Linked DNA regions of Xenopus tropicalis. The protein of the gene in region 6 purifies or fractionates together with the protein of the main gene of each other region. This does not show direct contact. Links are inferred from orthologs where the notes say so. Each region holds a gene or a part of one and is shown on either strand. Other genes may lie near its edges.

Region 1 (3,500 bases), on a different chromosome or scaffold from region 6:
TGTACCGTTTTTTGCCAAATTTGACGTACATGCATAATAACCTGGTTGGGGTATGCTATTGGTTGGGGTCCTTAAGTAAGTAGCCACTGAAAGGGGGTATAGCAGGTCCCTAGTAGGGCTTTATGTAGATGGTACAGTGACTAATGGGTTGCATCCTCAACCCAAGATGCTATGTGGCTTAGTTGGGCTGCTATGTAGTATAGATATATGTTCGGGAATGCTGCTCTCCCTTTAGATTTGCCTTTAATCAGAGTATTCAGGCCTAGGCGATGTCGGGTGCCAGCCCATATTAGTTGTCTAAATATTGTATCTATTGCAGTAAAAAACCCTTTTTTAATAACACAAGGGGCTTGCAAGAGGGCATAAGTTAGTGTGGGGAGGAGTATCATTTTGATAAGATGTATTCTGCCCATTGGGCCAATTAGGAGGGATTCCCATGCTTTATTTTTCTTTTGTATATAGTTTTTAACCAGTAGTACAGTTAGGTTGTATTCTGATAGGGGGAGTTTAATTACAACGCCTAGGTAAGTGATTTGCTGAACCATAGGGAAAGGTATATTTGATTGGTTATCTGGCAACTGTTGTGGGACAACTGGCAGAATGACTGATTTAGCTGGGCTGGTGACCAGGCCTTGGGTGAGGAATTTAAAGCAATTCACATAAGTAGTTACACTTATATATGCTTCATACACACTGCATATAGCACTAAGGCGCTAATTCAGTCTGTATTCATAAATTAAGAGCAAAGTACAGTGCCCTAAGATGCAAGAGAAATTAGAAAGTGTTACATTAGCATTGTATCTACCAAACTGACACACATAGTAAATTGCATATTAATGCATAATAATGCTGTTATTGTTAATAAACAAAAAGCCACACTACTTTCTGGCAAGCATTCAGCTGCTGTGAATTGAGGCAGAAGCTTTATATCCAGGGATGGAACTAGTGGTAGCCAGAAGAGGCACATGCCTAGGGCACAACAGAGGAAGGGGGAGTGCAAGGCATATACCTCATCTTCCTGCCTACTTTTAATTCATCATTTTATAATTCCTACTCTCAGACCAGGCGAGGGAGGCGACTATGCAATAGTAAATAGCAGGGATGCTCTGCTCGTTGCCACTGCATTGCTGCCCAAGGGTTTGGGCTTACCTTATTGGCACCTCACATTTGGCCCACAACTGCTTATATCTAAAAACTCACCATCTTGCTCCACGTAGTCATTAGGGTCATTGTCTCTGCTTCGTGATGTCACCTGCAAGGAAAAAAATGTCTATTCAGGTGACACTCAAGGTGTTAAGCAAATAGAAAAATAAATAAAAAAATAAATTGTCAGCATCTTTGTGAACAGTGTTTACCAACTTTGTAACCTGAGTAATCTGAAAAGAAGGAAACTGAAAAAGTGAATGAAAGGCAGACAGCCCCTTTAATTCCTTTTTAATGCCTTTTAACTCAGGAAAGTGATTTGGTACACCAGAGGAGACATTGCCTGGGTTATTAGTATCACAATAAACCAGTGAACTAAACAATTTTTAATAACAGAACAATTTAAATCAGTTCGACCTTATTTGCACAACGGCACCCCTCAGTTACACTATTTCCCTATCTAGGGGTTACTTCACCTTAAGGGCTCCTTCAGTCACAAAAAAAAAAAAAAAAAAAAATTATATATATATATATATATATATATGTTGCAAGAAGACAGGCACTCACGTATAAGTAGGTCCAAGGGAGCGCAGTCCCAAAATAATAGATGGAATAGCTGTAGAGAGAGTCCGCACTCACAGGTCTTAAGAAAATATAGAAGTTTTATTCAAATCAACATCTAACGTTTCGGCTGCATCCACAGCCTTTCTCAAAGACAATGTGAAACAAACAATGGTGCACTGAAAAAACCGAATTTGGCGCCAAACAATGACGTCATAGGTGTGAATACATTAGCATACAGTGTGAAAAAAACGCTCTCAAAACACATTGAATCAACATGTTAAGATAATATGGATTAGGCATAGAACACAAACAAAAGGACTGTCAGGAGAAAGGAAAAGTGGGTGTGTATTAAAAAAAAAACTAGATACATAAGCGGGCTTTTTTAATACACACCCACTTTTCCTTTCCCCTGACAGTCCTTTTGTTTGTGTTCTATGCCTAATCCATATTATCTTAACATTTTTTGTTGATTCAATGTGTTTTGAGAGCGTTTTTTTCACACTGTATGCTAATGTATTCACACCTATGACGTCATTGTTTGGCGCCAAATTCGATTTTTTCAGTGCACCATTGTTTGTTTCACATTGTCTTTGAGAAAGGCTGTGGATGCAGCCGAAACGTTAGATGTTGATTTGAATAAAACTTCTATATTTTCTTAAGACCTGTGAGTGCGGACTCTCTCTACAGCTATTCTATATATATATATATATATATATATATATATATATATATATATATATATATATATATATATATATATATATATAAAACATAAAAAAAGCTTTCTGGAGCAAAATAATACATTTTAACATTTTTAATTGAACATTAAAGGAAATAAACATTTTTTAAAGCCAACTTATTAGGGATGTACTAAACTCAATGTTTATGGATTTGGTAAAGTGGCTGATTAGATTCAGCAGTATCCAAACACATCACTAACGTACATAATCAATTCTGAGCAAAATGAAAATAAAACAGGAGACTGACTGGTATAACGCGGAGGTTGTTTGAGACAAGATCACGAGAGGTCACATGGCGTGTCTGGTCTTCATTGCATCGGACATCCAAAGTAAATTCCACAGAGCACTCTGGACAAAACTCATCACATGTACAATCCTAGTCAGAAGATTTTTGGAGAAGACAAAACTGCATTGTAAGAGCAAGAAGCTATGGCAAGTTTTATTACAGATAGCCTAGATAGAAGTCTGAAGAACAGATCAAAATGAGCTAATAAAATCTCAGCCTTGAAGATTTGGAAATTCATCCTAGTAATCATCTGATCAGAAAATGTATATCCATCTCACTAAAATGCCTTTCCACCAGTGATTTGGAAAGGCGCATGCGGCGCTTTATTTTCCAAAGTCACGTGAAGTTGCCTGCAGGAGGAAACTTCACTTGACTCCAGAAAAATGAAGCAATGTGTATGCCTTTCCACCAGCAATTCACTTTGATGCCAGTGGAAAGGCATTTGGGGGAGATTAGCCACCCACGATACCAAAGATTAACCATGTCCGACTTATCTCCCCGTGAGCCATGAGCCTAAAGGGGTCGCTCACCTTCAGATAGTACACCAGAAATAAAGGCTTTTTTTCCCCCAACTGCTTTTATTTTTTCTGTTTTTCTAATATTGAAGTTTCATATTTCGCCTTTTCATGTCTCCATAGAGCAGCTGGGGAATAGGGGGCCACTGTTCTAATTTGATACATTAGTTGATAATCTTTTATTTTTCACCCTGCTTGGCATAATACCTGAGTTTCATTAAAGGCAGATGACTGCACATAGATTACTTAGCA
Region 2 (4,231 bases), on a different chromosome or scaffold from region 6:
TATGCTATGTGGTTGGCCCCAGACAACCCATTCCAATGCTGTAAGTAAATGCCCCTTAATGTCTTATTTGTATCATATATCGATCTTTATTTCTGCAGTGGTGCATAGACTAATGCCCAGGGTGTTTGTATAACTTATATCCTATATTTACAAATGCACAGAATTATGGCTATTTTACCACAATGTCACAGAAAGTTAACAATAAATAACATTTTAATTAGCAGACTTTAAATAATCAAGCCTATGATACTATAGGTACTTACAAATTTCTCAGTTAAAGATTGCAAATCTGCAGCTGCCATATCACACAAGAGAGCATGAGCACAAAAGGGTGATGCCTGCACAAATATAAATATAAATGGCAGATAAATCAGAAGAAAAGGACATAAGGTTTACAGATTATGTCTTAAGGTTCTACAGATGAAAGCAGATAAATTAAACTCATTATGGTAACTCCTTATGGTACCTGCTGGCTAATGTTTACATGTATTGTAGAACAAGCATAAATGCACATTAAAGGAACAGTAGAACCAAAAAATGAAGCTGATTTTAAGTAAATTAAAATATAATTTACTGTTGCCCTGCACTGGTACAACTAGTGTGTTTGCTTTAGAAACACTAAGGGCTCTGGCACACGGGGAGATTAGTCGCCCGCGACAAAACTCCCTGTTCGCGGGCGACTAATCTCCCCGAGTTGCCATGACCCGCAAAAAGACTCACAAGTCTTTTTCGGCGATTTCGGGAAATCGCGCCGCCGCGTGTGCCATCCCGCCGGCGACTTACAAGGGAGATTTGTTGCGGGAGACTAATCTCCCCGTGTGCCAGAGCCCTAACATAGTTTATATAAATAAGCTGGTGTGTAGCCATGGGGGCAGCCATTCAAGCAGGAAAAAGGCACAGGTTACATAGCAGATAACAGATAAGACACAATTGTATTCTACAGGGTTTATCTGTTAGCTGCTGTATAACCTGTGCCTTTTCTTCTTTTAAATGGCTGCCCCCATGGCTACACACCAGGGTTTTTATATAAACTCTAGTACAGACAGTCATGTAAAAATGCAGATGGCTGTTTCAAGCATGTGTGCCATATTTTCAGCAGTTTCTATTGTCCATAATGGAAAGTGACAGGTGACAAGTTTCATGTGGTTTTTGAAAATGGAATTTTTAATTCTAAGTAGTCAGTTCTTGTTCACTGTGACAGGAGTGGAGCTGGTCTACCTGAAATCCATCACAGTTTAACTTTGACAACACATAAGATCTATAACCGTTTTTTGCTAAAGTCAAAGTAATTCTAATGAGTTCTAAAGTGCAAAGAGTTGTGCTGTACCGTACCTGAATGAAACTGAGCCGATCGCAACGTTCCAGCAGATGAAACAGAATGTACAAATCTCAGGACACGTGACCTGTAGAATTGTCACTATAGCGTTCCACACGCTTTGCTGCTTTGCTTCCGGGTGCGACCATATCGAGGTGTGGAACAAAAGCTCCGCCCAGTGGGAGGCTGTCTGCTGGTGTGGGACATGGCGGAAAGGGGGAATATGTCTAAATCAAGGAAGGCTCGGGCAAAACATTCAGGTGCGGATAAGAAAGGGATTTCTAAACTATTCATTGCAGACTATTAGCAGGGGATGCCCATAATCATGTGCACATATGAACTGAGTATTGCCCCTTGTATAAGGTCTAACGCAGAGTTGAAAACTTCCAGTGTAAAGCGATGTACAGAATTAGTGTTGGCATCACCATCATCTCTCACGTTATTGCTTCACATTTGTTATAAATATGTATTTTAAAAATGAACTGGTTTGTCCCGCTAAGTAACTCAGCCTTGTGTGAGTGCGCCCTGCTGTGACACAAGTGCTTCAGAATGCTATACTATACTATAGCTAGAATGTATAGCTACAATCATGCACACATGAGTATCTGCAAATACTTTAGCCGGTGTATAGCTACAATCATGCACACATGAGTACCTGCAAATACATTAGCCTGTGTATAGCTACAATCATGTGTACATGAGTACCTGCAAATACTTTAGCCTGTGTATAGCTACAATCATGCACACATGAGTACCTGCAAATACATTAGCCGGTGTATAGCTACAATCATGCGCACATGAGTACCTGCAAATACATTAGCCTGTGTATAGCTACAATCATGCGCACATGAGTACCTGCAAATACATTAGCCTGTGTATAGCTACAATCATGCGCACATGAGTACCTGCAAATACATTAGCCGGTGTATAGCTACAATCATGCACACATGAGTACCTGCAAATACTTTAGCCTGTGTATAGCTACAATCATGCACACATGAGTACCTGCAAATACTTTAGCCTGTGTATAGCTACAATCATGCACACGAGTACCTGCAAATACTTTAGCCGGTGTATAGCTACAATTCTTCACACATGAGTACCTGCAAATACATTAGCCTGTGTATAGCTACAATCATGCACACATGAGTACCTGCAAATACTTTAGCCTGTGTATAGCTACAATCATGCACACATGAGTACATGCAAATACTTTAGCCTGTGTATAGCTACAATCATGCACACATGAGTACCTGCAAATACTTTAGCCTGTGTATAGCTACAATCATGCACACATGAGTACCTGCAAATACATTAGCCTGTGTATAGCTACAATCATGCACACATGAGTACCTGCAAATACATTAGCCGGTGTATAGCTACAATCATGCACACATGAGTACCTGCAAATACATTAGCCTGTGTATAGCTACAATCATGCGTACATGAGTACCTGCAAATACTTTAGCCTGTGTATAGCTACAATCATGCACACATGAGTACCTGCAAATACTTTAGCCTGTGTATAGCTACAATCATGCGCACATGAGTACCTGCAAATACATTAGCCTGTGTATAGCTACAATCATGCACACATGAGTACCTGCAAATACTTTAGCCTGTGTATAGCTACAATCATACACACATGAGTACCTGCAAATACTTTAGCCGGTGTATAGCTACAATTCTTCACACATGAGTACCTGCAAATACATTAGCCTGTGTATAGCTACAATCATGCACACATGAGTACCTGCAAATACTTTAGCCTGTGTATAGCTACAATCATGCACACATGAGTACCTGCAAATACTTTAGCCTGTGTATAGCTACAATCATGCGCACATGAGTACCTGCAAATACATTAGCCGGTGTATAGCTACAATCATGCACACATGAGTACCTGCAAATACTTTAGCCTGTGTATAGCTACAATCATGCACACATGAGTACATGCAAATACTTTAGCCTGTGTATAGCTACAATCATGCACACATGAGTACCTGCAAATACTTTAGCCTGTGTATAGCTACAATCATGCACACATGAGTACCTGCAAATACATTAGCCTGTGTATAGCTACAATCATGCACACATGAGTACCTGCAAATACATTAGCCGGTGTATAGCTACAATCATGCACACATGAGTACCTGCAAATACATTAGCCTGTGTATAGCTACAATCATGCGTACATGAGTACCTGCAAATACTTTAGCCTGTGTATAGCTACAATCATGCACACATGAGTACCTGCAAATACTTTAGCCTGTGTATAGCTACAATCATGCGCACATGAGTACCTGCAAATACATTAGCCTGTGTATAGCTACAATCATGCACACATGAGTACCTGCAAATACTTTAGCCTGTGTATAGCTACAATCATACACACATGAGTACCTGCAAATACTTTAGCCGGTGTATAGCTACAATTCTTCACACATGAGTACCTGCAAATACATTAGCCTGTGTATAGCTACAATCATGCACACATGAGTACCTGCAAATACTTTAGCCTGTGTATAGCTACAATCATGCACACATGAGTACCTGCAAATACTTTAGCCTGTGTATAGCTACAATCATGCGCACATGAGTACCTGCAAATACATTAGCCGGTGTATAGCTACAATCATGCACACATGAGTACCTGCAAATACATGCATGCACAAACAATTGCTGTAGGTTTGAAACAATTAAAGGAAATCAACTTTAAAAAAATATTATATTGTTTTAATAAATAATTAGTGTTAACAGTTTAAGCTTAAATTATGCCTCTACTGTCTAAAATACTTTTAACTTTACCCTAAGTTTTCATGTGTTACTTTGTGTCATCTGACAGACCTAAAACAAAGGTTTTCTTGGAAGCCATGCACAGTTTTCATTAAAGCAACATAGTACTGCTAAATAATT
Region 3 (3,365 bases), on a different chromosome or scaffold from region 6:
TATATTCAGTCAGTCCCAAGATTTTGGCAGGCAGTCGTTTCCACCTTTACGTTCTTTCAGCACGGGCGAAAACAATGCCCAATTGTCCCCATCTACTCAAATGTATGAAACTTACAACAGCTTAAGTAAGCTTGAGGCTCCTAAATCTCCCTCAACCCCAAAGGATGACCCATTTTTCTCCTCTGACAGTCATAATTTGCCAGGGTTACATTCTGGTATGTCACGAACTCCATATACAGATTCTCCCCGTACTCAAAATAGATCCCATGCTTTTACCAATAAGAATACTAGTAGACCACCAATGTCAAATATGGAGCAAACAGACAATGATGTGTCAGCTACTTCAACTATTGAATTTAAAAACATGCTTAAAAATGCATCTCGTAGGCCATCTGATGAGAACCAATTCAACCAGTCGGGCAAAGGCAATTTTAATGAAGATGTGAAAATTTCTGGCCTTGGTCATACTGGTATGACCTCTGAAGAGAGACAGCTTCAAGAGGAGCATTATCGCATAGAAACAAGGGTGTCATCTTGTGTTGACTTACCTGACAGTGGTGAAGAAAAAGGTGCTCCAATTGAGACCCTGGGGTATCATAATTCTGGAAACATGAGGATTTCAGGGGAACCTATAAAAACCGTAGAGTCAGTAAGAGTTGGAGTAAAGGGGAACAGAGGACTTGGCATAGATGGAGGTCGAGGGAGTTGGTTTGAAATGGGTAGCAGAGGTAGTCCATTTAATGACGGTCCATCCAGTGCTGATGATGAGCCATCAGTAAGTGGCAGCAGTGGGGTAGGAGGGTTTGAAACACAGTATGATGAGCACTTACCACAGTTTCAAGACACTATCAGTGAATTTAGAGCAAAATCTATGCAGGCGTTTGAGCATCGCTTACCTCCGCCTCCATTACCACCATCCATGGTACCTCCTTTAGATCGTGGAGGACCATTTCAAAATGAGCCAGCTGGCCCCCCATCTGTTCCACCCCCTGGTTTACCACCTGATCGTTTTTCAAGGGACATGCCTCCACATATGCCCCCTGTAGAAGCTATCTTGTCTCATGGTACTCACCCTCCACCCAATGAACATGGAGGCAATCCTTTCTCTGGACCTCCACCTCCAGAACATGGGGCAAATCCTTTTTCTGGGCCTCCTCCTCGAGACCAAATTGGCATGCCATTTTCCTCTCCGCCATTAGATATGCGAAATCCTTTTTCACCAGACCATGGAAACATTCATCAATCAATGAAGGATCATTTTGGTTTGGGCCCAGGACTACAGAGAGACCTTGGAGCTTTACCTCGTGATCACAATGGCCCAATGCTTGGTAGATTAAATGAAACACAAGTTCATTCTAGAGACCATCTTGGAAACTTTAGTGCTCCTCCACATCATTTTAATGCACCACATCACAGAGACAATGTTGGTGGCCTCAGATCGCACCGACCACAATTTAGGCCCAGGGAACAATATCAAAGCTTAAAAAGGCCAAGGCCACCTTTTGCACGAGGTCCACCATTTTTTACCCCAAAACGTCCCTTCTATCCCCCAAGGTACTGATACAAAAGTGTAAAATCATTAACGTGCATTGGTACTGGTCCACATTGGCTGTTATTTGGTCAGGGAGTTTTGTGTTAGTTGAAAATAGCTTAAACCTGGAAAGCTAACAACAAGATTTTCATTTTTCCTGGTGTAAGGCCACAGATATAAAGTCACTTTACAAAAAGTTGACTTTTTAGTGGAGGAATTTTTTTTTTTTTTGATTGTAAGAAACACCCATCCATTTGCCCACCCATTCTGATGTCTACTTCATCAACCAGTCAGCAGCTGGGTGAATATTGCAGTTGTCCTGAAGTGAAATCTGATGCCTAAATATTCATGTCTGAGTCACAATATGGAGCCAGTGAACTGTTTCGTCTGCTCAATTCTCAACACCTCTGAAGCCTATCCTGAATCAACCCATTGCTTTCTTATATCCAGATAGGTGAGTCACAGGGGCAGTTATAGGGAGGCTAGTCTATCTGAGGTCAGATAATTGCGTTTTTGTTTTGATAACAAGTGTTAACATTTCCTCTTTAGCATTGTTGCAACACCACAAACCCTTTCTCTTCACACCACAGTGAATCAGGGGAAAAAAAAAAAATAAAGTCTTCAGATGCAATTAACCTGCATCATTCCACCATTCAGTTTCAGGACTTGTGCCGGCTAAGACGTGTTCCAGTCCATACTTCTCGGAGCTTGAGGAGCAGAGTTTGAAGACTTGGTGGTGTTAATAAAACTCCAAGTTGTACCTTATTCATTCTGTGTTTTCGGCAGTTGCAAGGTTAGATGTTCTTTGTAACCAATTAAGGTTTCGAGTAATGCAAGGTTAAATACACAGTTGTATGTATCAGTCTACAACACAATTCTGAATGACCAACATAACCTTTATCCATGCATATGTCTATATGTGAAATTAATACACTTTTACCTTGTGTTATAAAGACCAGTGAATTTCATTTAATGTCTTCAGCATGACTTTTTCACAAGTGCTTGCGTTTAATCCATGAGGTACCTTCTAACATGGGCTAATGTTAAGCACTCGGACATTGTTCCAGTTGATAGGTAATACCCCTTTCTCCTAATTATTCTTCACAAATGTTTTGGTGGGTTCTAACACAAATTAATGTTGTAATGTTCTTAATTTAGTGTTTGAGAGCAACATACGTTGGTCAGAGTGTAGCATCTCTGGACCGTAAGAAAGAAAATGTAATTTAAAACAAACAAACCATTCAGCCATTGCTTTGCAGCAAAGATTTTTTGGGTGACACTGGGCGTGCAGTTGTTTGACAGCATTTTCACATTATATAAGGAAACTGACATTTCATATTTTCTCTTTGCACTTATATGACTGAATCTTGTACAGAATATGAATATGTGAGGGGCTGAACTCCTGTCACACCAACTGCTTTGTACAAGTTGCAAATTTGTTAGTGAGGAAAGGATACTGAAACTTAATTTATTAAGAACTGCTTGACAGAAAATTGGGCTTAGAAGCCCCTGTTAGGACGTACTCGTCAATCACACAGCCATGGAATATATAAATGGGCAATAATAAGTCAGACAAGATAATAACTTGCGTTTTGTATCTAAATTGTATTTAATGCATGAAATGTTTCATACCATTGAATATTAACAGAGGGTAAAAAGGCATAGTTGTATTTAAGAAATGAAAATTTGTTAATTGCTCATGCCCATACTGCGTTCAGAGCCCAACACAAGAATTTAAATTAACATTGCTCACAAATGGAACTAGCAGAAAATTTAAAGGGGTTGTTCACTTTTGGTCTTCATTTTTTATTATTTCTCAAATTGTGCAGCAGCT
Region 4 (4,062 bases), on a different chromosome or scaffold from region 6:
GGGGAAGGGGCGCTTAAGAGGTGACATGATAACTATGTATAAATATATAAGGGGATCATATAATAACCTTTCTAATGTTTTATTTACCAGTAGGTCCTTCCAACGGACACGAGGGCACCCACTCCGTTTAGAAGAAGGGAGGTTACATTTAAATATTCGGAAAGGATTTTTTACAGTGAGAGCTGTGAAGTTCTGGAATTCCCTCCCCGAATCAGTCGTACTGGCTGATACATTATATAACTTTATATAGGGGCTGGATGGATTCTTAGCAAGTGAGGGAATACAGGGTTATGGGAGATAGCTCTCAGTACAAGTGAAGGAATACAGGGGTATGAGAGATAGCTCTCAGTACAAGTGAGGGAATACAGGGGTAGGGGAGATAGCTCTCAGTACAAGTGAGGGAATACAGGGGTAGGGGGGATAGCTCTCAGTACAAGTGAGGGAATACAGGGGTAGGGGAGATAGCTCTCAGTACAAGTGAGGGAATACAGGGGTAAGGGAGATAGCTCTCAGTACAAGTGAGGGAATACAGGGGTATGGGAGATAGCTCTTAGTACAAGTTGCCCCAGGGACGGGTCCGATTGCCATCTTGGAGTCAGGAAGGAATTTTTTCCCCTCTGCGGCAAATTAGAGAGGCTTCAGATGGGGTTTTTTGCCTTCGTCTGGATCAACTAGTAGTTAGGCAGGTTATATATAGGCATTATGGTTGAACTTGATGGATGTATGTCTTTTTTCAACCCAACTTACTATGTTACTATGTTACAGTAGAACAGCCCCTTCCTACTGGTTTGCCCTGCTCCCATGTACAGTAGAACAGCCCCTTACTAATGGTTTGCCCTGCTCCCATGTACAGTAGAACAGCCCCTTCCTACTGGTTAATAAATTTCTCCAGCAGGGGCAGAGCAGCCAATCAGAGAGAAACTATAACTCCCAGAGGGAGCAGTAACTGTTCTTTCACTCTAACTCCCAGAATTCCTGCTATTAAAACTACTATTCCCAGAATGCCCTGACAGCCGCTACAGCCAATCGGTGGCAGGTCCCTGTAGCCCCTCCCTCGCAGTGTCAGACGCTCAGGCAGTTCTGCAGAGTCCAATCCAGAGGTTTCTTATCCTCCCACGCCAGTCTCTGGGCCGAAAGCAGCGAAGCATTTTGGGAAGCCACCGCCCCCTTCCCTCTCCCCGGTACAGCTTTGCGTTCCAGATTCCCAGGCGCCTGCTGATTGCGTCATAGCGACTCACTTCCGGCAGGCTCATCGTGGGCTCCCAGTACACACTTCCGGTTGCCGTGGTTGCCATGGAGCAGTTTGGGGGCCCGCAGAGAGTGTTGTCCTACCTGCAGGAGGTGGAGGGGAGAGCGGAGGATGTGCTGGGGAAGCGGCGGCAGGTGGGGCCGGGGGTAACATGGGGGCCGGGGGGTAACATGGGGGCCGGGGGGTAACATGGGGCCGGGGGGTAACATGGGGGCCGGGGGGTAACATGGGGGCCGGGGGGTAACATGGGGGCCGGGGGGTAACATGGGGCCGGGGGTAACATGGGGGCCGGGGGTAACATGGGGCCGGGGGGCTGGGGGTAACATGGGGCCGGGGGTAACATGGGCACCGCTGGGTAGTAAGGGTCACTGCTCTGTATAACTGTGTGTCATTCTGTCCCAGATTGTGGATTTGGATATAAAGAGAAACCAGAACAGAGAAGCCCTGAGGTCTCTCAGCAAGGACCCCTCTCCAGCAGGTAAGTGAGAGGCACTGGGGGGCTGCAAGGACCCCTCTCCAGCAGGTAAGTGAGAGGCACTGGGGGGCTGCAAGGACCCCTCTCCAGCAGGTAAGAGGCACAGGGGGGCTGCACCTTGCCAGCAGGGTAAGTAGGCAGCACAATACGCTATGGGGGGGAGTGAGGGTGAGATTGCAGGGAGGAAAGGGCTACTCCAGGGAAAAAGCCAGCCCTTAGCGCTACACTCTATTGCCCACAGCCAAGGGGTCCTTGGTGTCTGGAAGCCAAAGCCACTGCTGGAGACAGGAAGGAAGTGATGGTACCCCGTAATGTGTGTCATGTGACTCATTTAGAACAAACATAAATACTGGCACAACAGGGCTGTTTCAGCGGGATGAACCCTGCTATCTTATTAGGTGCAAACCATGTACAGTTTCGGGGTGCGCCCCTTCATGCGACTTCCAAACATTACATGGTTTGCACCCCGTAAACTAGCAGGGTTCATGAAACAGCCGTGTTGTGCCCGTGTTTATGTTACAGCAAAGGCTGCCAATCACTCGATACTCAGCACCAGGCAGAATGTATGTGCCAAGGCCAGGGTGTACCGGTGAGTGTTACAGTTCATGTTACTAAGTTAGCACAGGTTGCAGGGATCAAAAATGCTCCAACTGAGCAAGGATTGGGTTAACGGTCTGAACTCTTTGTGCTGCCAGCTTGTCATTCCTTTTTGAGAAAGAACAGTTGTTAAGTGCCCCAATGGGTTCCTTTCTGTCTGTGCTTGTAGGAAGGGTAACTGTCTGCTTTGGGAACATGTTCATAGAGCTCCCCAAGAGCAAGACCAAGGAGATCATAGAGCGAGGTGAGTGTGGGGGTACATAGAGTGAGTGTGGGGGTACATAGAGTGAGTGTGGGGGTACATAGAGTGAGTGTGGGGGTACATAGAGTGAGTGTGGGGGTACATAGAGTGAGTGTGGGGGTACATAGAGTGAGTGCGGGGGTACATAGAGTGAGTGCGGGGGTACATAGAGTGAGTGCGGGGGTACATAGAGTGAGTGCGGGGGTACATAGAGTGAGTGCGGGGTTGATGGCAGGAAGGGGAATCACAATGTGTGTTTGTACCATTCTCTCCCACAGACCAAGAGCAGCTGGATAAAGAGATTTCAGGGCTTCGCAGGGAGCTGAAAGTGAAGGTGAAAGAGCTGTACGAGGCCCAAGGTGAGACTCAATAACACAATCTATTAGACACCCCCCCACCAATGATGCAAATTTGGCCCAGTTTCATTATTGATACTCTCTGAGCCCATCAGTAGGGTGAGCAGTGCTCCCCAAATAACACAGACTTGTACCCACACAGTGAGAGTTACATGGGTACAGGCTGGCCCTAGTGCTGAGGTTCATGTTCGCACAGGATGACCCCATTGCTACTATTGGTTCTGGCTTGGCACCAAGACTCTCGTGTTTCTGTTGGCAGGAAAGCCAGAGCTAAAAGGCTTCGACCTGGTGGCACTCTCGACAGAAGAGATGAAATCCATTCAGAAGGCGCTGGGAGAATGAGGCTCTGCTAGATAACAGCATTTGGGGCAGATCATCCTTATCTTGGGCCCTCACAGCGCAGGGACTTTAGTTCCTACAGTACGGATCTATCTGAATCAGATGAAAGAACTTATAGTGCAACATGAATGTTACCCCCAGGTGCAGAACCTCTAATTCATTACAATTTGATTAACTCCTTGTTCCTTGGATTTATGTACAGTGCAACTTAGAAGACACTTAGCCTTTAATTCTGAGGAGCAAGGTGCAATTGCCATATTTAGGGGTTAATTTATCTACTGCTTCTTTTCTAACTGGATTCAGTTCATCCCACAATCCTGTGTATTTGTACTGTGCATAGACTGGATGGCTCTACCCACTGGTATCCTTGGGGCTCACGCCTGCACCCCGGATGTTATTTGAATCATATGGGTGTGGCTCACTGAGGCCCCACTAGCTGGAGGGCACACACAAAGGTTGGACTGAGCTGGGAATCCCCATCCACCATCTTATCTGAGCTTTGTACCTATAACTCTAACACTCCTTAACACGTTATATCTGATGGGCTCTGCATGGCAGGCTTTGTGGTGGCCCCCTGCAGGGCCCAGTCTTTGCTTTGTTGGAGGGAATAAAGCTAGGGTACCTGTCAGGACTGTGCGTAAATATCTGTACCCCATTATATAGTAAAGAATAAGTGATTAACCCCATTGCTGCTGAGCTGCTAGTGACACAGTCACAGAAGTGCTGGCAGGTCACCATGAGCCCGTCAGAATGGTTGCTGTGTAACCAGAACTCATGTCTCCTAGAGGACTTTAGGCCGGCAGTG
Region 5 (3,500 bases), on a different chromosome or scaffold from region 6:
TTTGATTCATCACTTTGCAGTGGGCTTGGTCTCTGTAACATCCGAAATACTATATAAACCGCAGACTACCTTCCTCCACCTTCTTTATGTATGTTTATATGTGCCTGCATTTGTATTGTATATGAGTGCATATATATGTAGATATAAACACTTCTTTTTTTTCCCTACCGCTCTGTGAAATTTGCATTACATTGACTGCTTTAATGTCATCTAGTTGTTTTGCTGCATTGATCTCTTGCTCTTTGCTATCAAGGCCAATTGTTTTAAGAGGGATTAAAATTCATAGCAAAGCTGAAGAAAGATTCTCTGTTGCATCTTTTATTACTAGAGCAGGATACTTGTAATGAGAATAAAGATTTTGGATGGCAATAGAAATAAACGAGTTGCATAATCACAAAGAAAAGTAGCACTGTTAAAATACGAACCAGTGGGGCTCATTTATAAACTTTGTGCTGCACAGAATGATTTGCCCAGTGTTAAGATATGACCTACATGTGTTTGTTTAGAAAGCTTGGCAAGATTGGTGTATTCGATGTGCAAATATAATTCAACATTTTTATTTGTGCTGTCCGTTTTAAATATGGCATTGCAAATATTTATTTACAATATATATTTTAATTACTATAGATATACAAATATAATATTTATATATATATAGTCACCGAGGAGTCACATGACCATATAAAAGCACGAGGTCGCATGCCAAGTGCTTTTATACAGGTCATGTGAGTCAGAGGTGACTTCCAATATCTCTTTAAATTATAGTAAGGGGTGTATTATCCATAACATTCTGCAGTGTTTCTATGGACAGTGTCTTCAAGGAACTCTGTGTTTGCTCTATTTTATTGCAGAGACACACTTAAGTCTCCTCCTTTTCCTTCCCCTTGTTTTTTTAACATTCAGTTTTACCTATCTCTGTAGTCCCTATGCACTGGTGGTTTTTTTGCATGCAGGTTGGAATCAGCAGGCAGAGCAAGACTTGAGAGGAACAGAGGGTAGGAGGAACAGAGGGAGGGAGACCGGTGATGAAAGGTGGGAGTGGCAGAGGGAGCAAGACCTGATCAGGGCAGAGGGGAGTTCAGAGGGAACAAGACTGGAGAGTGAGCGCTCCCTTTGAAGTAAGGAAGAGGGGGAAGTCAGACATTTTGGTACCCCCAGTGACTTAGCCTTTCCTTCTCCTTTAATGTCATGTTTTGCTCCAGGTATGTTGTTTGGTGGAAAATATGACCAGTAATCAACTGCATAAATGGACACCAAGCTTTAAGTAGGATGTTTTTAAAATTATACTCTAAATCTCAGAATGAGGCATTTCAGATTTTTTTCAATTTGTGGATGAAACTTTTGATTTAGTAACATTAGGAGTTTCTTAACAGGAAGCCACCGCATTGCACACAAGCCTCATTCAAAACCAAAGGTACCTGACTGTTTTGAAGAGGAGGTTGCAGAACATGAAATGGGAACAAAACCTAAAACCACGTTTTTAGACAATGAGGAACTGTGGGCAAGATTGGAAGAGCTTGAACGGGAAGAAGAGTTACGTGGAGAGCTTAATAAGTAAGCTGTATTTGTTTTTTCCCATTTGTATGTGTGAGCCATTTAATATAATTTATAGGTTGATTAAGATATCACCTTTGGTGCCAAACTAAAGTATATTACTGAACAGTATTCAAAAAGCTTGTATAAAGCTTTATTATGCCAACATAATGAAAGCCAGATCACCAAGGAAGTGGAAAAAGCGCATATATATATATATATATATATATATATATATATAAATATATAATATAGTAAGTAAGGGACCTTTCTCAAGACACAAAGGTATGTAGCCCACTTTTGTGACAGTGCTGCTACTCCCGTTACCTTGCCCCTTCCCTTTGGGGTAGCCGCTTACCAAGCAGCGATGATCCTCCTTGTATGAAGAGACCAGGACACTGGTATGATGCTTAACCAGTAGAACTTATTTATTGTAGACAGAACAGACAGCCAGGTTATCCAGAAGCACACTTGCAGTCAGGGTACACACTTCTCTTTGGAAAACCTCTTTCCCTGGGGCTACCCATGGTACTCCCACCAGGTGATCCTTTTTTTGGGGTTCCCTCCGGTACTCGCGCCGGAAGACCCTCTGTAGGGCTCTCCCCGGTACTCCCGCCAAGCGGACACCCCTTTTGAGACCTCACCCCGGTACTCATGCCTGAGCACCCACTGGATTAGGAATCCCCTCATACTGACAACTATACCCTACCCCCTGACTCCAGCGATGTAGTGCTGGGGGATCTTAATCGCACTGGCTCCTGTCGGGGAGATGTCGGCCCTTACTAAATAACCCATCTATCACTCCTAGAGTGATCTCTCACTTCCCACACTGCTTTCTAAACACAGGCCTGTTATTCACCCCTCTACCAAAGGAGGTCCCAGGCAGAAAACCTGCTGAACCAGAAAATCTTCCCTTTTTATATTCTAACACACCCAGTGGCCACTGCCTGAACTACAGGGAAACTCCCTTTTTCACACAAAAACAACTAGGACCACCTTTAGGTGTCCAAATCCCATGAGGCCACCCTCTAGTGCCTGTCTAAACGGGAATCCTCCTGGGGGCCAATTTTGGGGATCCCTACAGGTATATATATTTTTATATGTTCTGTATGCTCTTATTTATTGCAGTATTGATGAGATACAAAATGGAATAGATCTAGGATTTTCTGAAGAAGACAAAGAGAATCGAAAAACTGATCTTAATGTGTCCCAAGAAGTGAGAGAATCTCCAACTCAGGGAAATTATCTAAATACAAAATCAGAGTCGGCAGTGAACACCAGTGGTATCAGTGTTTCAGTTTCACACCAGAGTGATGGTGAAGATGACTCCGGCTTCATTAAAAACTCTGTGGCAACCATACATTTTCTGCACACAGTTGAACCAAAAAGAGTAAGTATAAGTATAACTGTAAGGTATAATGCGGTAGGGTAGTTATGCATTTGAAAGGAAAACTATACTCCCAAACAATGTAGGGCTCTATAAAAATATATTGCATGAACAAGCTCACATGTAAAACCTGCTTCATCTAAATAAGCCATTTTCATAAAAATATACTGTCATGGCCAAAATTGTTGGCACCCCAGAAATTTTTACAGAAAATCAAGTATTTCTCACAGAAGAGTAAGTAACACATGTTTTGCTATACACATGTTTTGCTATACACATGTTTTGCTATACACATGTTTATTCCCTTTGTGTGTATTGGAACAGAACAAAAAAGGGAGTAAAAACAGCAATTTGGACATAATGTCACACAAAACTCCAAAAACGGGCCAGACAAAATTATTGGCACCCTTAACTTAATATTTGGTTGCACACCCTTTGGAAAAAATAACTGAAATCAGTCACTTCCTATAACCATCAATAAGCTTCTTATACCTCTCACCGGGAATTTTGGACCACTCTTGCTGCAAACTGCTCCAGGTCTCTCTTATTGGAAGGGCGCCTTTTCCCAACAGCAATTTTA
Region 6 (3,500 bases):
GATGAAATACAGTATGTGCAATATCTAACCCTGTGTTTTCTTTGTCGTTTCTAGCCAAGTCAAGCCGGAAGCTGACTTTCTTGTACTTGGCCAATGATGTTATTCAGAACAGCAAACGAAAAGGACCAGAATTCACCCGCGAGTTTGAAAATGTGCTCTTGGATGCCTTCTCGCATGTGTCCAGGTATACCCGGCATTGTGTTTTTAATATACAGAGACATATATTTAAATATGAGGTAGCATATTATTATTATTGTGCAATTGATACTTTGTATATGTGAGGAGAAGTGGCCATAGTGCTTGGTTTGTCATTCTCTTTAGATATCAAATGAAGATCACCATCTTGTGGTCATAAATACATAGTGCTTACCTTAGAAATTTATTGTAAAAAAAGAAGAGTCGGCAAATCTCTAATGCAAAAGTGCAGAGAGGCAAAATTTTATACGGACACAGTTATTTCCTTATATTTTGTAGTTAAAGGGAACATAAACAGAATGTGACTGTAAACAAGGCAATTTCCTTCTCTCTAATCTTGGCACACTTAATTTGGGCATACTGCTCCATTAAATCCATAATATAGTAGCGTTTACCCCCTGAATGTTATAACATGGCCTTTCAGGCTAAACGCAGTTTGCTGGAAATCTTAACAGTTGTTTATTGAAGAGTGAGGGATGAAAGTAACATCCATTGTGTCCCTCTGATTCCATGTCTGGCACGCAGTGTCACTGGCTGTGTTTCAGCATCACTCCTCCAACTCGCCATTTGCCACAACCAGCTGCTCACTCCCACCTCTTCATGTCTGTGATTGGGCGCCCTTAATAAGTACAAAGGAACACTGATTGAAAATTGACCAAGCACAGTAGATAATTGATTCATTACAGTGAAATTGTGTAGGAAATCCAGAAGCAGTATGGATGCCAAGGGTCATATAAATATCTCAATTTATTGTGGATATATTTCATTTGTGAACACATTTTGTATCCAGCTGTAATGCTGCTCACGTATGCACTACCATTTTGGTAACCTAGCAGTGTGTCCCATATACTGTATTCCTCTCACATACTGGATTCCTCCCATATACTGGATTCCTTTCTTTTGGCATCTTTATATCTCCATTGGCCAAGCATACCCACTTTTCTTCTCTCCCGCAGCGAGGCAGAGGATGGGTGCCGGAAGCCTTTGGAAAGGTTGCTGCATATCTGGCAGGAACGCAGCGTTTACTCGGCTGATTTTATCCAACAGCTCCGACTGTCAATCGAAAATGATGAGAGCCCCAGGGAAACACCAGGTACATTGTCTCCATCTGACCCTTTGTTCAAGCTTTGTTTAATTCTATATATTTTTCTCCCAAAGCAGCAACTTGGCCCAGTTTGGTTCTGATTACAGAAATGCCCATTGGAAATTTGCAATTGGGACCCTCAGGCTTTATGAACATATATACTGTGACCTATTAAGGTTTTGGGGTTATAGATTGTAGAACAATTGGTTACCTGAAAGCAGTTTTAAAGCTGGCCATACACGCACCAATAGTATCGTACAGAACCTTGTTTTGTATGACATTTGGTGCAAGTATGGTGGATTGACGTGAAGACGGATATCGCAAGAGTGTTGGATATTGGTCGTCTTCTCGATCGGGCGACGTTGAAGGCGCCTGAGCAAAATCTGCATTTAGAGTCTTCAGGGGGAGGTAGAATCCCTATTGACAATACTGACAATTGCCTCTGCTAAAACACACGTAGAGACATTTTTCAGTAAATGATCAGCATTTCCTGTTTTAGTAACTGTGACATGTGACATAAATCTTCGTTGCTGCGGGCGACTAATCTACCTGCAATGCCATCCCACCGGCTACAATGTAAATTGCTTGTGGGATGGCATACGCGTTATGTCCCGCACTCGCCCAAAAACTACGGGCAATTTACATTGATGGCATTGCGGGGAGATTAGTCGCCCGCGACAACGAATATTTGTCGCGGGGTGACTAATCTCCCTGTGTACCCCTGCCCTAAGGGTGCTACAGAGCTACTAGTAGCAGCTACTTTTTCACAGCTACTAAAACTGGAAATGCTAATCATTTACTGAAAATTGTCTCCAGAGGTCCTTATGATTATATCCGTACAATTTGGCCAACCGCGAGGATGGACACATGAGACAGACATATTTGGTGATCTGTACAAACTAGTTCTTTCTAGGCCAAGCTCTAGATTTGTGTCTGTATTATGTTTATTATATTTTTCCTTTGACCAATGCTATTTGTGTTCACTTGGGAAGTGACTGCCAGCTTTGCTACTAGGAGGAAGTGTGCATCACAAAGATGAGGGTTTTGTACAGGAATAGTGTTTTCCTTTAGATTTTGGGCTATGGAAGTTAGTGATAGAAGGGCAAGTGGTTCATTTAAGGTCATAAATACCTGCTATATTTATCATTGAACAGAGTTACAGCAATTCCCTAATTCTAAATTGGGCCAATCATATGGAGGTTTTCAATAGTCATTGCTTAATTTAAACCTACATCCTCCCACCAGTGCTAATGGGATGAACCATCTGAAGTGATCCACTAGGTTCAATGCCCCCTACTGCTGCAGAGAAAGCTGGGATATAAGCAATGAATTTACATCAGCGTTATAGGGGAAAAAAATACGCCCAGTCCTTTCTTTAGGTCATATTTCATCCTCCTGTAGTTTGAGGTAGATCAGTTCCACCACGGAAGGGCTCAGAAGCGTAATGGCGCCAGTCCCAGAGCTGCAGCGCCCGACTTGTCTCCTAGAGATAAAGAAAGTCTTTGGGCTCGCTGGAAGAAGCCAGGCCGGCTCATTATGGAAGCAAGAGAATTATTTCTGGAGTGTAAAAACTGAATAATTTAATAAAGATTTCCCTGCTGTGGGATTAAAGGGGATGATTGCCCGCTGCTGTCTATCAAAGTGGCGTTTTTTGTTTTTTTTTACACAACGTAGCCTTACATTTGGAAAAGCATACACACTTGCTCATTTCAGCGGGCGCCAAGTTAATCTCTTACAGCAGGACTGTAGCCCTAGGATAAGTAGTAAATGGCGGCTGACATAAAATCGGTGACATGTGGGTTAGCGGCGCATTGTGTTCCCTGCCGTTGCTTTATGGCATGTGCAATTAACGCCTGCTTTCTTACAATTCAGGTGCTTTCCCCTGATAAGATGAAGAGCTAGCAGTACTGGGAGGCTCCCAGAATGCACTTGGTGCTGCCCTCGAGCAGACAATAGCAAGGCTCACTGCTGTCAGGAGAATAATGGGAGTCGCCGGCTATTCTTAGGAATGACTTATGTTCGCAAGCATGGCTCCTTTCTTCTAAGAGATGCCTTTCTCCCCAGTCAAAGATCATTTTAGAAATTACTTCAAGTTGATTGTTGATAACAGTATGTGTTTTTACCACCTTAACCCAGGCCTTTAATAAGCTTTTGTATTTCTCTAATCAGAGTCTGTGCCGGGTACTGTTATGTGATCATAGGTTATGGAGCGATATATAAA

Evidence for each region.
Region 1: the proteins of rprd1b (region 6) and polr2c purify together in Homo sapiens (affinity purification with mass spectrometry; 3 studies listed by BioGRID and IntAct, counting the BioPlex papers as one, with this or other methods). This does not show direct contact. The link is inferred for Xenopus tropicalis from reciprocal best matches to the Homo sapiens genes RPRD1B and POLR2C.
Region 2: the proteins of rprd1b (region 6) and rpap2 purify together in Homo sapiens (affinity purification with mass spectrometry; 5 studies listed by BioGRID and IntAct, counting the BioPlex papers as one, with this or other methods). This does not show direct contact. The link is inferred for Xenopus tropicalis from reciprocal best matches to the Homo sapiens genes RPRD1B and RPAP2.
Region 3: the proteins of rprd1b (region 6) and rprd2 purify together in Homo sapiens (affinity purification with mass spectrometry; 4 studies listed by BioGRID and IntAct, counting the BioPlex papers as one, with this or other methods). This does not show direct contact. The link is inferred for Xenopus tropicalis from reciprocal best matches to the Homo sapiens genes RPRD1B and RPRD2.
Region 4: the proteins of rprd1b (region 6) and pdrg1 purify together in Homo sapiens (affinity purification with mass spectrometry; 3 studies listed by BioGRID and IntAct, with this or other methods). This does not show direct contact. The link is inferred for Xenopus tropicalis from reciprocal best matches to the Homo sapiens genes RPRD1B and PDRG1.
Region 5: the proteins of rprd1b (region 6) and uri1 purify together in Homo sapiens (affinity purification with mass spectrometry; 3 studies listed by BioGRID and IntAct, with this or other methods). This does not show direct contact. The link is inferred for Xenopus tropicalis from reciprocal best matches to the Homo sapiens genes RPRD1B and URI1.

The regions. Positions count from the first base shown.
Region 1 is NC_030680.2:76,281,164-76,284,663, forward strand, and holds part of polr2c (DNA-directed RNA polymerase II subunit RPB3), read right to left. Parts: intron 2,824-3,500; coding exon 2,695-2,823; intron 1,253-2,694; coding exon 1,201-1,252; intron 1-1,200. UniProt on the Homo sapiens protein: Core component of RNA polymerase II (Pol II), a DNA-dependent RNA polymerase which synthesizes mRNA precursors and many functional non-coding RNAs using the four ribonucleoside triphosphates as substrates.
Region 2 is NC_030680.2:104,537,919-104,542,149, reverse strand, and holds the start of rpap2 (putative RNA polymerase II subunit B1 CTD phosphatase RPAP2), read left to right. Parts: upstream 1-1,431; 5' UTR 1,432-1,520; coding exon 1,521-1,575; intron 1,576-4,231. Other genes in the region: glmn (glomulin), read right to left, coding at 264-302.
Region 3 is NC_030684.2:127,642,418-127,645,782, reverse strand, and holds the end of rprd2 (regulation of nuclear pre-mRNA domain-containing protein 2), read left to right. Parts: coding exon 1-1,561; 3' UTR 1,562-2,865; downstream 2,866-3,365.
Region 4 is NC_030679.2:29,800-33,861, reverse strand, and holds the start of pdrg1 (p53 and DNA damage-regulated protein 1), read left to right. Parts: upstream 1-1,262; 5' UTR 1,263-1,293; coding exon 1,294-1,383; intron 1,384-1,651; coding exon 1,652-1,727; intron 1,728-2,490; coding exon 2,491-2,565; intron 2,566-2,840; coding exon 2,841-2,921; intron 2,922-3,177; coding exon 3,178-3,260; 3' UTR 3,261-4,062. UniProt on the Homo sapiens protein: May play a role in chaperone-mediated protein folding.
Region 5 is NC_030680.2:71,244,142-71,247,641, reverse strand, and holds part of uri1 (unconventional prefoldin RPB5 interactor 1), read left to right. Parts: intron 1-1,373; coding exon 1,374-1,554; intron 1,555-2,661; coding exon 2,662-2,923; intron 2,924-3,500. UniProt on the Homo sapiens protein: Involved in gene transcription regulation. Acts as a transcriptional repressor in concert with the corepressor UXT to regulate androgen receptor (AR) transcription.
Region 6 is NC_030686.2:39,351,733-39,355,232, reverse strand, and holds part of rprd1b (regulation of nuclear pre-mRNA domain-containing protein 1B), read left to right. Parts: intron 1-54; coding exon 55-184; intron 185-1,151; coding exon 1,152-1,288; intron 1,289-3,500. UniProt on the Homo sapiens protein: Interacts with phosphorylated C-terminal heptapeptide repeat domain (CTD) of the largest RNA polymerase II subunit POLR2A, and participates in dephosphorylation of the CTD by RPAP2. Transcriptional regulator which enhances expression of CCND1.